Daphnia pulex: one gene and its partners. The protein of the gene in region 3 binds, or shares a complex with, the protein of the main gene of each other region. Links are inferred from orthologs where the notes say so. Each region holds a gene or a part of one and is shown on either strand. Other genes may lie near its edges.

Region 1 (3,720 bases), on a different chromosome or scaffold from region 3:
TTAATCCAAAGTTCCAGTTCGAGATATTCTTCTCGGGTATGGTCCTCAAGAGCATCGAATTCGAGCTGAGAAAGCTTCAGGTTCTTCTTGATCAAATACAACTTTTCTTCTTCACCGTACTCTTCTTTTCGGATGTCAAACTTGTAGACCCAGATAATGTACCAACGGACGTACTGGTAGATGGTGTAGGGCAGAATGATGAGCTGGAACCACAGTATTTGCTTCCAGTCTGGTTTAGAATAGCCTCCGCGAATATCCATTTTCTCTTCGATGACTTTTCGAATAATTTGCTCCTTTTCCTCCTTCTCTTTGGACTTGTCTTTGACTTTCTTGCTGGTATTTTCATTGAACAAGCCTTCTTTCTTGGCAATTTCAAGTGCATGTATCCTGTATTTTTGCACAGTGGTCAAATACTTTATGGCAGTATCATAGCGTTCCCAGGCAGTGTAGTACTGGATCCCAGAAATGATGGTGACACACACAGCAAGAATCAATCTGATGTCGACATTTGGAGCTGTACGCCGTCTGTAATATCTGTAGTAATGCATGTACATTTCTTCTGGATTGTCAACCATGTAGTCATAATCTTCTCTGGAGGCATTATCACTCAGAATTTCATAGGCAGTGGCTATTCTACGAAAATTCTTCTCAGCTTCTTCTTTAGTCACCTCAGGCCCTTGCACATCAGGATGGTACTTCTTTGCAAGAACTCGATAAGCCTTTCCTATAGCACTCCTAGAGCTCTCTCTCGTCACACCAAGCACTAAAATTAAAAAAAAAGAGAAAGCGTTATTACTGAACGTTTTAAAATTAGGTTAACGAAATAGCTCACCATCGTAACAGTTCTCGACTCCACAGTAGAGTCCTTCAATCAAGGAATGGACATATGAGACGTTCAAAAAAACGCAGAAGGTAACAATAAATAGATATGATTTCATTTTCATTATTTTATAAAACAATTATTCCTAATACGATCGATCCACAGTCAAAGTTACAATTTTTTGCAGTTTATCCAACAAGTAGCATAGCGGCACATGCCATTGAGCAAACTGACCCAACTGAACAAACTGTAAAAGTGACAGGAATAGCAGACTACGACACACATTCCTGTCAGCCAACAAGTTCCACGTAATAATAACGGGACAAAAATTGAGATGAAAGCTTACTTACGTAACATTAAGTTTATTATTATCAAATTTATTAAAAAAATTTTAGCAAGACAAAATTTTGCTAGAAAAGTTTCAGTAATTTCATTAAAAATTAGAAATTGGTTTCATTTTTCTGAATATGAATCTGGCAATGTCTACGTTTCATTTCTCCCGCTACGAATTCGCCACTTCTGTTATCTTGATTTTTAAGTTTCTTTTGGCGAGTGAAAGAGCTACGAGAAAAACAATGGAAATAAATTCCATAAAAGAGAATCTAAAAGCTGAAATACCTCATCGAGAACAACAAATTGAAATCTTGGCGGATATCCTTCAAAGCGTGAGACTTGTTATGATTCTTGGGATGTTTACGTCAAATATTTATGAGAACGTGATTGAATTTATTTGCAGAATGCCCTTCCACCTTTCCTGTATGTATATGGCCACACGTCAACCGGAAAATCGTTAGTAGTCCAACGAGTGATTGAATCTGTGGAACATGTTCAGTATGCAGCAATTCACTGCATTGAATGCCTCAGTCCACGCTTTCTCTATGAATCTGTCCTTGAACAGCTGGGAAGTCAAGAACGATGTGACAATGCCAATGAATTTGCCAGATACCTCAAGCAGCTTGGTGATACCAGACCGATTTGTATTGTACTTGATAAGGCCGAAAGGATGCGAGACTTGAGTGATGGAATGATCATCCCAACACTGACCAAAATCCCAGAGTTTACAGGTCTCAACATTTGCATCATCTTCATTTCAGAAATCCCCTTTGAGAAGTTTCGGTGTGGCACTGGAAGTCTCGATCCCATACAGATATTTTTCCCCCAGTATAGCAAAGGTATTTATTGATTCAATTGTAAACACAACATCTTAATCAACCATTTCTCAAATTTTGTAGAAGAAATTCTGGATCTACTGATGAAGGAATGCCGACAACCTGAACATTCATCTCTTTACCAGACATATCTTTCCATGATATTGGGTGTCTTCCTGGTGGCTTGTCGCGATTTCTGCGAACTTCGCTACATAGCCGCGCAGCATTGGGAAGCCTTTATGGAGCCCATCCATTCGGGCGAAATCGACAAAACTCAATCAGTGAAATTATGGCGACATCTTGAACCGAAACTTCGCTCCAGTCTGAACCAAGTTTACGTCCGAGGTCCTGATGCATGCGGGACCCAAATAGGCCTGAAAATGGAGCTTCCATTCTTCTCCAAGTTCCTTATCATCGCTGCCTATCTGGCGAGTTACAATCCGCCCCGTTACGATCGTCGTTTATTCGTCAAAGCCAAAGAAGGCAGGAAGAAGAAAGACAAAGGTCTCAAGTCATTGAAGAAGCAAAAGTTGCACAACGCCGCCCGTTTGATGGGACCCAAAGTCTTCCCCATCGATCGATTGATGGCCATTTTCTATTCGATCGTTGAGGAACGAGTTACGCCGTCCCTAAATATATTTGTGCAGGTCTGAGCTCTTTTTTTTTTCCTTGTTGTTGTTAATCGCGTTATTTTTTGGCCAATTATTTACGTTCGAGATTGTGACGCCTCTTCGTTGTTCGACACACAGATTTCTACTTTGGTTTCCCTAAAGCTCATCACACACACGGGATCAGCGGCCATGTTTCAAGGAGTTCCGAAATACCGGTGCAATGCCGGTTACGATCTAGTCAGAAGTTTAGCCAGGTAAACATTTAAATTTAAATAGATTACCTCCGAGTTCAACCGTTAATCTAGTCCATGTTTTACGATACCAAAAGATTAAACTACTTGACACGATTACAATAATAAATGCTCACAAATTTCTTTTGATTACAGGACGGTGAATTTCGAGCTGGGACGTTACCTCTACGACACAACTGTTTGATCTTGCTTTAAATTGTAGGCAGTATATTATTTCCCTCACTTGATAACAAAAGAAGAGAATTAGCCTTGTATTATATTTATTAAAATTTTTCTTTTTTTTTCTTCAAGTTTTCTTTATAAACCCGTGTCCCCGCCCCCTACATCCTCGAGTAAGAGATAACAAACAAGTACACACCTCATTTCTTAAACTTTTCTTTTTTTTTGAAACTCTTAACCGAGTGTCGGAATGATGAAGTAATCAAATTACAACCCAGAAAAAGATAAGAAAGGCGACGTTTTTCAATTATATATAAATGTGTTCATGACTAAGACGATTTCTGACCGACGTCTGTTCACAAAAAAAAACCCTTTATCATATTAGACCACATATGGTCATAAGAGTCTCTGTAATTCGGTGAAGCGATATCAAGTTGATTCCCCCCCTAAGCGGATACTATTTACCGTCGTGTGTGTGTAAAAGGCGTTGTTTGATTTCTAATCGCCCCAACAAAAAATATATAGCAGCTGATAAGGCACATGTATAAGAGCTACGTCGAGGGCGGGGTCACAGAGGGGGGAAGGAAATGAAAAGTGGGAAGGGCCAAGCCGCAAACGTTTTTTTGAAAAAAGACCCCGCTTGGGGCTTTTAAATAAACCGGCGAGCACACGACGGCAACAGTGCCTTGCCAGACGTCAAGCCAAGTAAGATGGCGCTACACCAGTGGAAT
Region 2 (4,068 bases), on a different chromosome or scaffold from region 3:
ATTTCAAAATCTATTCTAAATTATTTGCTGGTAGATTTATTGATTTTTTAACGATGAAATACTATTATCTTCACTTTGTTTTAAGGTGCGAGATTTTGTGTCGATTAGCACAAAAATTGCTAAATCTTTGATGTTATTCATTTTAGTATACTTTAACGACTGGCCAACGCCCTGATCAGGGCGGAGCAATAATTTGAATCGCCCCAAGGTAGCAAATATTTGTTGCGTTGTAACATTTTTTTGCATCCGCGATCTCATTTACAAAACCTGGGAATTCTTTTCTTACATATGTCAAGAAGAAAAAAAATGCGGTTGCACCAACAGCATATTTTTGTATCAACCTATTTATACGAAGAAATTCTATCTCAGGACTCAGGTTCACCAATAACCAAAAATGGGATCTTTCAAGTGGCAGAAATAAATGTGACTTTAATCTTGTTCTACTTTGCGCGCAAATAATTAATTTGCGATTTTTCAGCAGACTGACAGAAACGCACCCATAAGGAATGTGGCAGCTCAGCCATTCTACAGAAAAAAAAGAAATAATTTACTTTGTTTTTCCCGTCGGCATTTACGTCACCAATTTATCAACTGATCGAACCATATACGATCACGTTTCACCGGCATACAGTCACTGCTGAATACACAATCCAGGATTTAGTGACAGGAGCATCTGTGACTTTATGGTTATCCAAATTAAATGGAAAAATGATGCAACTTGATTTGGTCATAACACGGACCTTGAAACTAGTTATGCAGAGAAAAGACAACGGCTCCACCCAAATCGGAAATCACCTACTGTTCGAACGGTACCTCGATTGTCCTTTTCACATTCCATACCAAATATGAAGTTTTCGATCATCAAAGTGTTTGTTTTCTAGTTCTTTTGCCTACCAGGAAATCTGTGTAACAACTCAAAATAATTTTATCTTCAGGATAACAAGCTAAGTCAAACAAGTAACACTCCACAGGCTGGCTCAACTTTTTTTTTCTTAGTGCAAGTTGTGCCAAATATTTTGTCAATTTACCACTCACCGCGGGCGTGGAGAGCGGAGACCTTAATTATTTTGTACCTTAATCCCCCTGCTGCGGTTCACTCATTTATCATATGGGCCAAATTAGATACCTAAGTATACATTCGGTGTCTTAATCACTTATACATATGATTCACCAATTTCAGAAATAAGCTAAACTATGAGATATCGATCAGATACGATTTTACGTACAATACACAAGCCTTCGAATATAATCTGTGGAACCGATGGGCAAGACGGTTTAAAAGATTTAAAACCAACTGCGTTAACAAAGTATTTCATATGCGTATATACATACAGTTCACGTCACACGAAAATGCTATGAATAACTGACTTGTTTGTTTTTTTGTGTGAGTTTGGTTTTCTTGTGATTTGTTAAGTAATTTGAAAATCTAGAGAGATTACATTGTGCTGCCACCTTGTAACAACAAACAAACATATTTTGACAGCACAATGTTTATGTGTCAGTTTGCGCGCCCTTTTTCAGTCAAACATCGTCTGCACGATTCAAAATCCAGTACGTGATACGATAATGGCATCTTGCACTGATATTTGTCGTAATATTCTATTAGAACGAATGGTTTTTAACAATCATTCTAGTATTTCAGTTCCTGATGAATTTTTAGAACACAAGAATTACGTTTTTAATTTACTTAAAAGCACGGTGCAAAATGGAGAAAACAATTCAGCTCTCCTAATTGGACCGAGAGGAAGTGGGAAAACCTTGGTAAGCACCTATACTCCTTTTAAATGATTGATGCAGCTTAATAATTTGTTAAATTTGTAGTTGATCAACAGTGTGCTGGCTGAACTGGAAGCTGTCTGTGACTTTGAGAAAGATTATGTTGTCATTAAGTTGCATGGCTTCTTCCAAACTGATGATCGGATAGCCATTCAAGAAATCACTCGCCAAGTAACTTTCTTTCAGTTTTGTTTGTAATGACCCTCCTGACAATTTTTTAAATTTATTGTGACATCTCTTTTTAGCTATTTTTAGAGGAGGAAGCAGCTGGCAGAGCATTTGGCTCATTTTCAGGTAAATTGTAACAGTTTAGATTTTTGCTTCTTTTATAAAGGTTATTTGAATATTTCCCTTTTTCTTCTAGAGAATCTAAATTTTCTTCTGAATTCCTTGAAGATGGCTGACAGGAAAAAAGCAAAATCCATCATTTTTATAATGGACGAATTTGATCAGTTTTGTCAGCATAAAAATCAAACTTTATTATACAATCTATTTGATGTTTGCCAATCTGCTCAAGTATAAAGCTTCATTCGCATATTCTCTCTTTCCTCACTTTTCAACATTTACAATAACATAATCTCATCTTATCGCATTTAGGCGCCAATGGCTGTCATTGGATTGACATGTAGAATGGATGCCATTTCTTTGTTTGAAAAGAGAGTGAGGTCTAGGTTCTCTCATCGACAAATTTATTTGTTTGTGAAACCTGATTTCACGAGATACACGGAAACGTTTGTCAATTTACTTCAGTTGGTGCGTGCTCCTCCCGGATTAAAACCCATATACGTTCGCAGCTGGGACAAGTCTATTAAGGATCTTGCACAAGATCCATTAGTCGAAGGCACACTCAAGAAACTATTCAACCTCAATCCGAAACTCCGTCTTCTGCAAAACATATTGGTACTTATTATTATCGTGTAGATAGCAGCCTGCACTTGACTGTTATCAGAATAAGGAACGCCAATAACGTACCCGTATTATTCTTGAATTTTACGCACTTAAAGCTGGTGGCAGTATGTCGCCTGGGCAAGAATCATCCTTTCCTCTCATCCAAGGACATTGTCAGCGCCATCGAGTCTCAAACTACGGATTGCAAAACATTACAACTCCAGGGCTTATCTGTCCTCGAACTGCAGTTGGTGAGTATAGTAAAAGAGAAATTTCGCATATTGCCTAGCTAAGCATCATAAAATGAAAACGTTTTTATTTTGGCCAACTTGTATACATTATATTGATTCCTCCTTGAACTCGTTCATTTATAGTTACTCTGCATGAAATACTTGGATAAAATTTACTTTGGTGAACCTTGCAATTACGAAATGGCCTTTTACGAGTATACCAAGCAAATGAAAAGCAGTTCGATGCAGAAATTCGACCGGCAAATCGCGATGAAGGCAATGGAACACCTCGAGGTAAATAACAAAAAAAGTTTGCCCAGCTTTTTAACGTAATAATTTGATGGCGGAAAATGAACAACATGCTACTTAATTTTCCTTTTGTAGACTTTGGAGCTGATCCGGCCCGTTGAGGGGGTTTCTTGCTCGAAGGTTCAGAAAGAATTTGTTGTTTACCATATTCTCATCACGTCAGAGCAGTTAACAGCTGCTCTCTCCAAGTATCCCAATCTTCCCACCGAAGTGAAACAGTTGGCAGACACGTGCCTCTGAGAAAACATTCCAATGCCACGGCATGATGCGTAATAAAGTTCTCCCAAGTCCATTGTGTTTTTCAAGGTGTATCATTTGTGAATCTGCCGAGACAAGAGAAAACAGAAATAAAAGCCAAACACACACGCGCAAGTACAGTTACAGTATATTAATATACAATGGCACTGCTCCATACAACACACAGCACGGTAAATAGTGAAATAATATTATAGATTAGGTAACTTATGGTGATTTTTATTTTACACATTGACGGCCCTCATAACGGAATCGTTGTCTTCCGATTCCGAATCCATCTGAGTCGACTCCACTTCCATTTCCGTGGGGATAGTTCCGTGAAACTGGCTGGTCAGAATGGCCACTTCTTCGTCGGGCGAGAGGGTGCGCGGTTTCTTCTCGTCGAAATCCAAGTTGGTGACGTTTTCGTAGACTTCTCCTTCGGCGAAACGGGCATCGCTGACGTTGCTGCTGCCGCCAGACGGCACAACGGCCGCTCGACGATAAGGAACGAATGAACAGGTATCGGCGGTCATGTCTGGCTGACCTGGCGGCACCCAGTGCGACGACTGCTGGCCGTTGGTGTTGGTGCAGTTGATGAACTTGGGCACGACGATGGGCGAGAACATTT
Region 3 (4,416 bases):
ATGTATCATCGTCTTCACGAGGTAAACAGCATAAATCTACTTTTCTTTTTATTGCTTAATGCCCGTGTTTGGTCCTAATAAATTCGTCTATTCAAAGATCATTGACGGTCGTAAACACACGAGTCCGCCGACATCGCTGACGGGTCAGATGCTTTGGCGAGAGTTTTACTACACTTGCGGGGCATACACTCCCAACTTTGATCGAATGATTGGGAATCCCGTGTGCAAACAAATTCCCTGGAAAGTTGACCCAGAAGACGAGCACTTTGTCGCTTGGAAAAATGTAAGTTTCTTTCTAATTTCAGAAAATTTAACCGGGTAACATTTGGATACTTTTTACAGGGCAGAACTGGATATCCTTTTATCGATGCCATCATGATACAATTACGAACTGAAGGTTGGATTCATCACTTGGCCCGTCACGCAGTTGCGTGTTTCCTAACGCGCGGAGATCTATGGGTCTCTTGGGAACTTGGCCAACAGGTACTATGTTATTCATTAAATGCAACGCTTTATTGTTATTTATCTTATTACCTTTTTTAAGTAAATTGTGTACACTTTTAAGGTTTTTGAAGAACTATTGCTTGATGCTGACTGGGCATTGAACGCTGGGAACTGGATGTGGCTCTCTGCTTCAGCTTTTTTTCACAGCTATTTTCGAGTTTATAGCCCCGTAGCTTTTGGCAAGAAGACTGATAAACACGGCGATTACATCAAGTAAACAGTTTTCCGAATCAAAATTCATTATACACTCAATTACTCATTCTATTGAAATTTACAGGAAGTATTTGCCGATTTTGAAGAAATTCCCAACAGAGTACATTTACGAGCCGTGGAAAGCTCCTCTGAGTGTCCAAAAAACAGCGGGATGTATTATTGGTAATTATGGATAAGTCATAAAATACTTGTTATAAAAAATTAAGTGTTTCAAAAATGATCGAAATAGGAAAAGACTATCCGAAGCGAATAGTTGACCATGATATTGTAATGAAGGAGAATTTAGCTAAGATGAAGAAGGCATATCAAGGCAAAGAAGAAGGTATGAGCATGACTGTTTAAAAACAAAACGAAAAGTCATTATAATTATGTATTTTCTAGCACCCGAAGGCGAGCCAGTCAAAAGAAAGAAAAGCGTTTCTAATGAATCCCCACCTAAAATTACAAAATTCTTTAAAAAGAATTAATTGTAGTTCCACTTCTCATCAACGACAACTTTCTGATGTGTCGTTAAAATGTACTATTTTTGAAATCTCAAAATTCAGAGTGCAAAATCTAAAAAAACAACAGTGCGTGTTATAAAATCAAATGTGTGGGTCTATGTTATTTAATATACACCATCAAATTGATTGGAATGGATGACATTTCATTTGCAATTTTGACTTGTTTATTTCATTCATTCATAAACAAGATGTCGCTTCGCGCGCTTTTAAAAATGTTTTTTTTAATTACTGCCAGATGGCGTTAAGCAGGATTTCAGCGCCAAATCGAACTATGGCGGCAACAACATCGTGCAACTTTATCTGAAAATGGCCACAACATCATCTTTCTCAAAGGTATTGTGTTAATCACAGCATTAATTAAATCGTTATTTATGTTAAGCTCTATTTCTTTTTCACTAGGGTTGTTTTGTATTCAAAGCAAATCCACAAAAATCGGGTCGAAGTCCAAGAAAGAAGACTAAAAAGTCTGCTATTGTAGATACAAATGATGATCTCAATGCTTCATCTTTATTTGCCAAAAGTGATAAGTCGTCTATGGAAATAAGGCTAGATTCCTACAAGAAAATATGGTCTGCCACTAAAAAGAAAAGCGAGGTCTGATAAGCTGGGTGTTTGGTATTGACTATTGAACATAACGAAGTGATGCTGATGATCTCTTCTTTGCAGGAAATCATTTCAGATAGCCACAAACAACTTCTGCATGATGTCAAAACTTTTGTTAGTGAAAATGCTGGTACTGGACAGAGCAGCATACCTACTGCTTTAATTTCTTTGGGAGTTAATCTTCCAGGTAAAACTAGTTGGTGTGTTGGTTATTGGAATTAAAGATAATTTTCATTGCTATTGCAATTCGCAGATCATGCTGCCTTTTTCAGTCTACTGGATACTACTTTGAAGACCAATGTATCTCCGTTTGTGGCTATGTTAAACTCAAAAGAATGCCCTTCTCTGAAAAACATGGTGCTGAAAACAATTCAGAAACTAACGAGCTGTGACTCAATAGATGATGAGGTTGAAAAAGATGAAGAAGATGATGAAGATGATGTAATTGTACCCATTAAACCAAGGTCTAAAGTTAAGACATTCGCGAATCTTGCGACGTGGTATTCAAATGTCGTAATGAAAACACCACTGATCATAATCCTCCAAGATCTCGAATCTTTTGGTACTCAGCAATTGCAGGATTTTGTACTACTCTGCAGGTAACCATTCTCAAACTACATTTTCCTTTCATATCAACTATGTTTTGTTTTTTTCTTATTAGAGAAAACCGAGTCCGGAATAAGCTACCCATTCAATTTATCATGGGTATTGCAACGACAGTAGCCCTTCAGCAGCAACTTCACCACCGAACCTCCGTTTGCCTAGCGACCAAATCATTCCAGTCACGACCTTCTGTTGTCCTGCTGAACCATCTCATAGAACAGCTTTTTATGAAGAGCAGCGTTTTAAAACTCGGGCCCAGGTTGATGCAACTTCTACTGGATGGATTTCTTTATCACGACTTGTCGCTAAACAGTTTCATGATGCGCGTTCACCTTATAATCATGCAGCACTACATCACTCTTCCAGTCTCGTCCCTGTGCTGTTCCGTCAGTGAACTAAAAGTACAATAATTTTTTTTTCACACTAATATCTTATTCTATATTTAATTATTTCGGATATTTTAGAATAGAATTAAGCAACTAAACGTAACAGATTTAGATCTTTATCGTCAGCTTCCGTCGTTTATGAAATTTATCGAAAAAAATCGATCCAAAATTTCACTCCTGACTGACGACAAAGAATTCCGGTTGTTTCTGCAAAAATCGTTAGAGGTAAATTGTTAATGCACTGATATTTCGTGAGTGTTGATACTGAATTTCTATTTTAGGCGCTGAACACTTACTCCAAGAACTTTTCGCTAAGCTGTCGAATTATCCATTCTCTGAGTGACGGCATGCCTGATGCGCTGTTTGGCAAAAGTTTGCGTGAAGTATACGTGAATTTGTTGATCGGTGGTGAATCTGAAGACTGGGAGCAATTTCTCCGATTGTTGAACGTTTCGTCGGCGCACGAACTTCGAACCAGAATCGAAGCTGCATTGACTACTTTGAAAGAGTGCGACTCGTCTGGCTCTTTGTCGGATTTCTCCACTAGTCTCGTCCTCTTTTCAGAAGAACTTTTACGTTTGGAAGAATCTAAAAAATCCGACGCCGTTTCCAGCCCTAAAAGTCAAAATGTATTCGTACCTCAAGGCAAAAAACTGGACAAGTTTGAATTGAAAGCAGTAAGTGCATTTAGTCCTCCTCATTTAAAGCACACAAAATCTAACTGTATTTCTAAAGCAATTGATGGCCACGGCGAAGCAAGTTCGGACTACCTCAGAATTCGACGAAGTAAAATCCGAGATCATAACCTGGCTGAATTCGGAGTTGGCAAGTCGTCTGAAATCTCCTTCAACCTTAGTTTTTCATGAAATTTTCTATGCTGGAAGTCAAGTTCAAAGTACGTTTACTTAATTTGTTTTGTCTGTTTGTACGGAAATCTTGATCGCATTTCATTTTAGGCAATTGGGATATCGTTCCATGGATGCGGCGTCAGGTCCAACCGGTTCCTAGGGTAGCCATAAGTAAGGCTCTCTCGAATCCGGCTTCTTACCTTGGTTGCAGTTGCTGTTCTTTAACCGGACAAGAAACGCAAGTTCTCTCTTCCATGCCGGATCTTTGTATCGTTTACAAATTGCATACCGAGTGCGGTCGCTTGATCAATCTTTACGACTGGATGTTATCCTTCAACGCTATTCAGAAAAAGGTTAGAAATAATTTTTTGTTTCCCAAAATATTACAAAGACGAATTGTATTCAAATTTTAAACAGGACGATGAAGACGACAATGAAGAAATTGAGCCAATCATTCAAGCACGTTTTATTCGAGCGGTTGCGCAGCTGCAGCTACTCGGATTCATCCAGTCGTCAAAACGAAAGACGGATCACGTTGCACGCTTGACCTGGGGAGTCTAAGCATTAAGTGCTGACTTGGTATGCTTCAAATCTTTCCTGAAAAGGTACTTAGTGTATACGGCTGTGCTACCCATAATACTTTTGTGGTAGAGTTGCTCCAATTCAAATTCATGGTGAAGAAAGAATTCTTTTGCCTCTTGCTGGCACTCGGTAATACAGACTTCAATTGAGGCGTATCCTCGTTCATAACAAAAG

The links.
Region 1: the proteins of origin recognition complex subunit 3-like (region 3) and origin recognition complex subunit 5-like are in contact, whole or in part, in a crystal structure (PDB 4XGC), measured with the Drosophila melanogaster proteins. The link is inferred for Daphnia pulex from reciprocal best matches to the Drosophila melanogaster genes Orc3 and Orc5. Residues at the interface, in NP_476904.1 of Drosophila melanogaster: Ile105, Gln107, Leu140, Lys141, Val144, Cys183, Thr184, Met185, Lys186, Gln187, Glu213, Cys214, Asp222, Leu225, Ile226, His230, Ala243, Thr244, His250, Tyr255, Ser258, Ser259, Arg262, Leu263, Ala270, Pro272, His302, Ile303, Leu305, Tyr306; in NP_477132.1 of Drosophila melanogaster: Ile72, Glu73, Tyr75, Ile79, Glu82, Asp86, Asp94, Arg130, Tyr291, Met292, Arg293, Ile294, Glu295, Leu319, Glu320, Leu321, Pro322, Tyr323, Tyr324, Ala325, Asp383, Leu386, Ala387, Tyr390, Val397, Leu399, Thr400, Cys401, Asn402, Leu403.
Region 2: the proteins of origin recognition complex subunit 3-like (region 3) and origin recognition complex subunit 4-like are in contact, whole or in part, in a crystal structure (PDB 4XGC), measured with the Drosophila melanogaster proteins. The link is inferred for Daphnia pulex from reciprocal best matches to the Drosophila melanogaster genes Orc3 and Orc4. Residues at the interface, in NP_476904.1 of Drosophila melanogaster: Ala217, His250, Gly251, Leu253, Pro254, Tyr255, His256; in NP_477320.1 of Drosophila melanogaster: Lys395, Glu398, His399, Ile402, Lys419, Lys422.

Annotation. Positions count from the first base shown.
Region 1 is NC_060025.1:8,384,245-8,387,964, forward strand, and holds origin recognition complex subunit 5-like, read left to right. Parts: upstream 1-1,350; 5' UTR 1,351-1,395; coding exon 1,396-1,485; intron 1,486-1,556; coding exon 1,557-1,992; intron 1,993-2,052; coding exon 2,053-2,615; intron 2,616-2,717; coding exon 2,718-2,833; intron 2,834-2,965; coding exon 2,966-3,014; 3' UTR 3,015-3,028; exon of another isoform or gene 3,029-3,121; 3' UTR 3,122-3,201; downstream 3,202-3,720. Other genes in the region: dnaJ homolog subfamily C member 25 homolog, read right to left, coding at 1-763, 833-944; plastin-1-like, read left to right, coding at 3,700-3,720. UniProt on the Drosophila melanogaster protein: Component of the origin recognition complex (ORC) that binds origins of replication. DNA-binding is ATP-dependent, however specific DNA sequences that define origins of replication have not been identified so far.
Region 2 is NC_060020.1:1,002,277-1,006,344, forward strand, and holds origin recognition complex subunit 4-like, read left to right. Parts: upstream 1-1,509; 5' UTR 1,510-1,566; coding exon 1,567-1,761; intron 1,762-1,821; coding exon 1,822-1,947; intron 1,948-2,021; coding exon 2,022-2,070; intron 2,071-2,140; coding exon 2,141-2,292; intron 2,293-2,373; coding exon 2,374-2,676; intron 2,677-2,780; coding exon 2,781-2,915; intron 2,916-3,038; coding exon 3,039-3,188; intron 3,189-3,278; coding exon 3,279-3,443; 3' UTR 3,444-3,568; downstream 3,569-4,068. Other genes in the region: uncharacterized protein LOC124192631, read right to left, coding at 3,683-4,068.
Region 3 is NC_060027.1:422,599-427,014, reverse strand, and holds origin recognition complex subunit 3-like, read left to right. Parts: upstream 1-1,469; 5' UTR 1,470-1,526; coding exon 1,527-1,553; intron 1,554-1,619; coding exon 1,620-1,814; intron 1,815-1,886; coding exon 1,887-2,010; intron 2,011-2,076; coding exon 2,077-2,422; intron 2,423-2,484; coding exon 2,485-2,827; intron 2,828-2,890; coding exon 2,891-3,037; intron 3,038-3,093; coding exon 3,094-3,489; intron 3,490-3,547; coding exon 3,548-3,707; intron 3,708-3,768; coding exon 3,769-4,013; intron 4,014-4,044; exon of another isoform or gene 4,045-4,077; coding exon 4,078-4,221; downstream 4,222-4,416. Other genes in the region: cryptochrome-1-like, read left to right, coding at 1-21, 98-283, 343-483, 566-717, 782-879, 947-1,039, 1,099-1,184; uncharacterized protein LOC124207230, read right to left, coding at 4,218-4,416.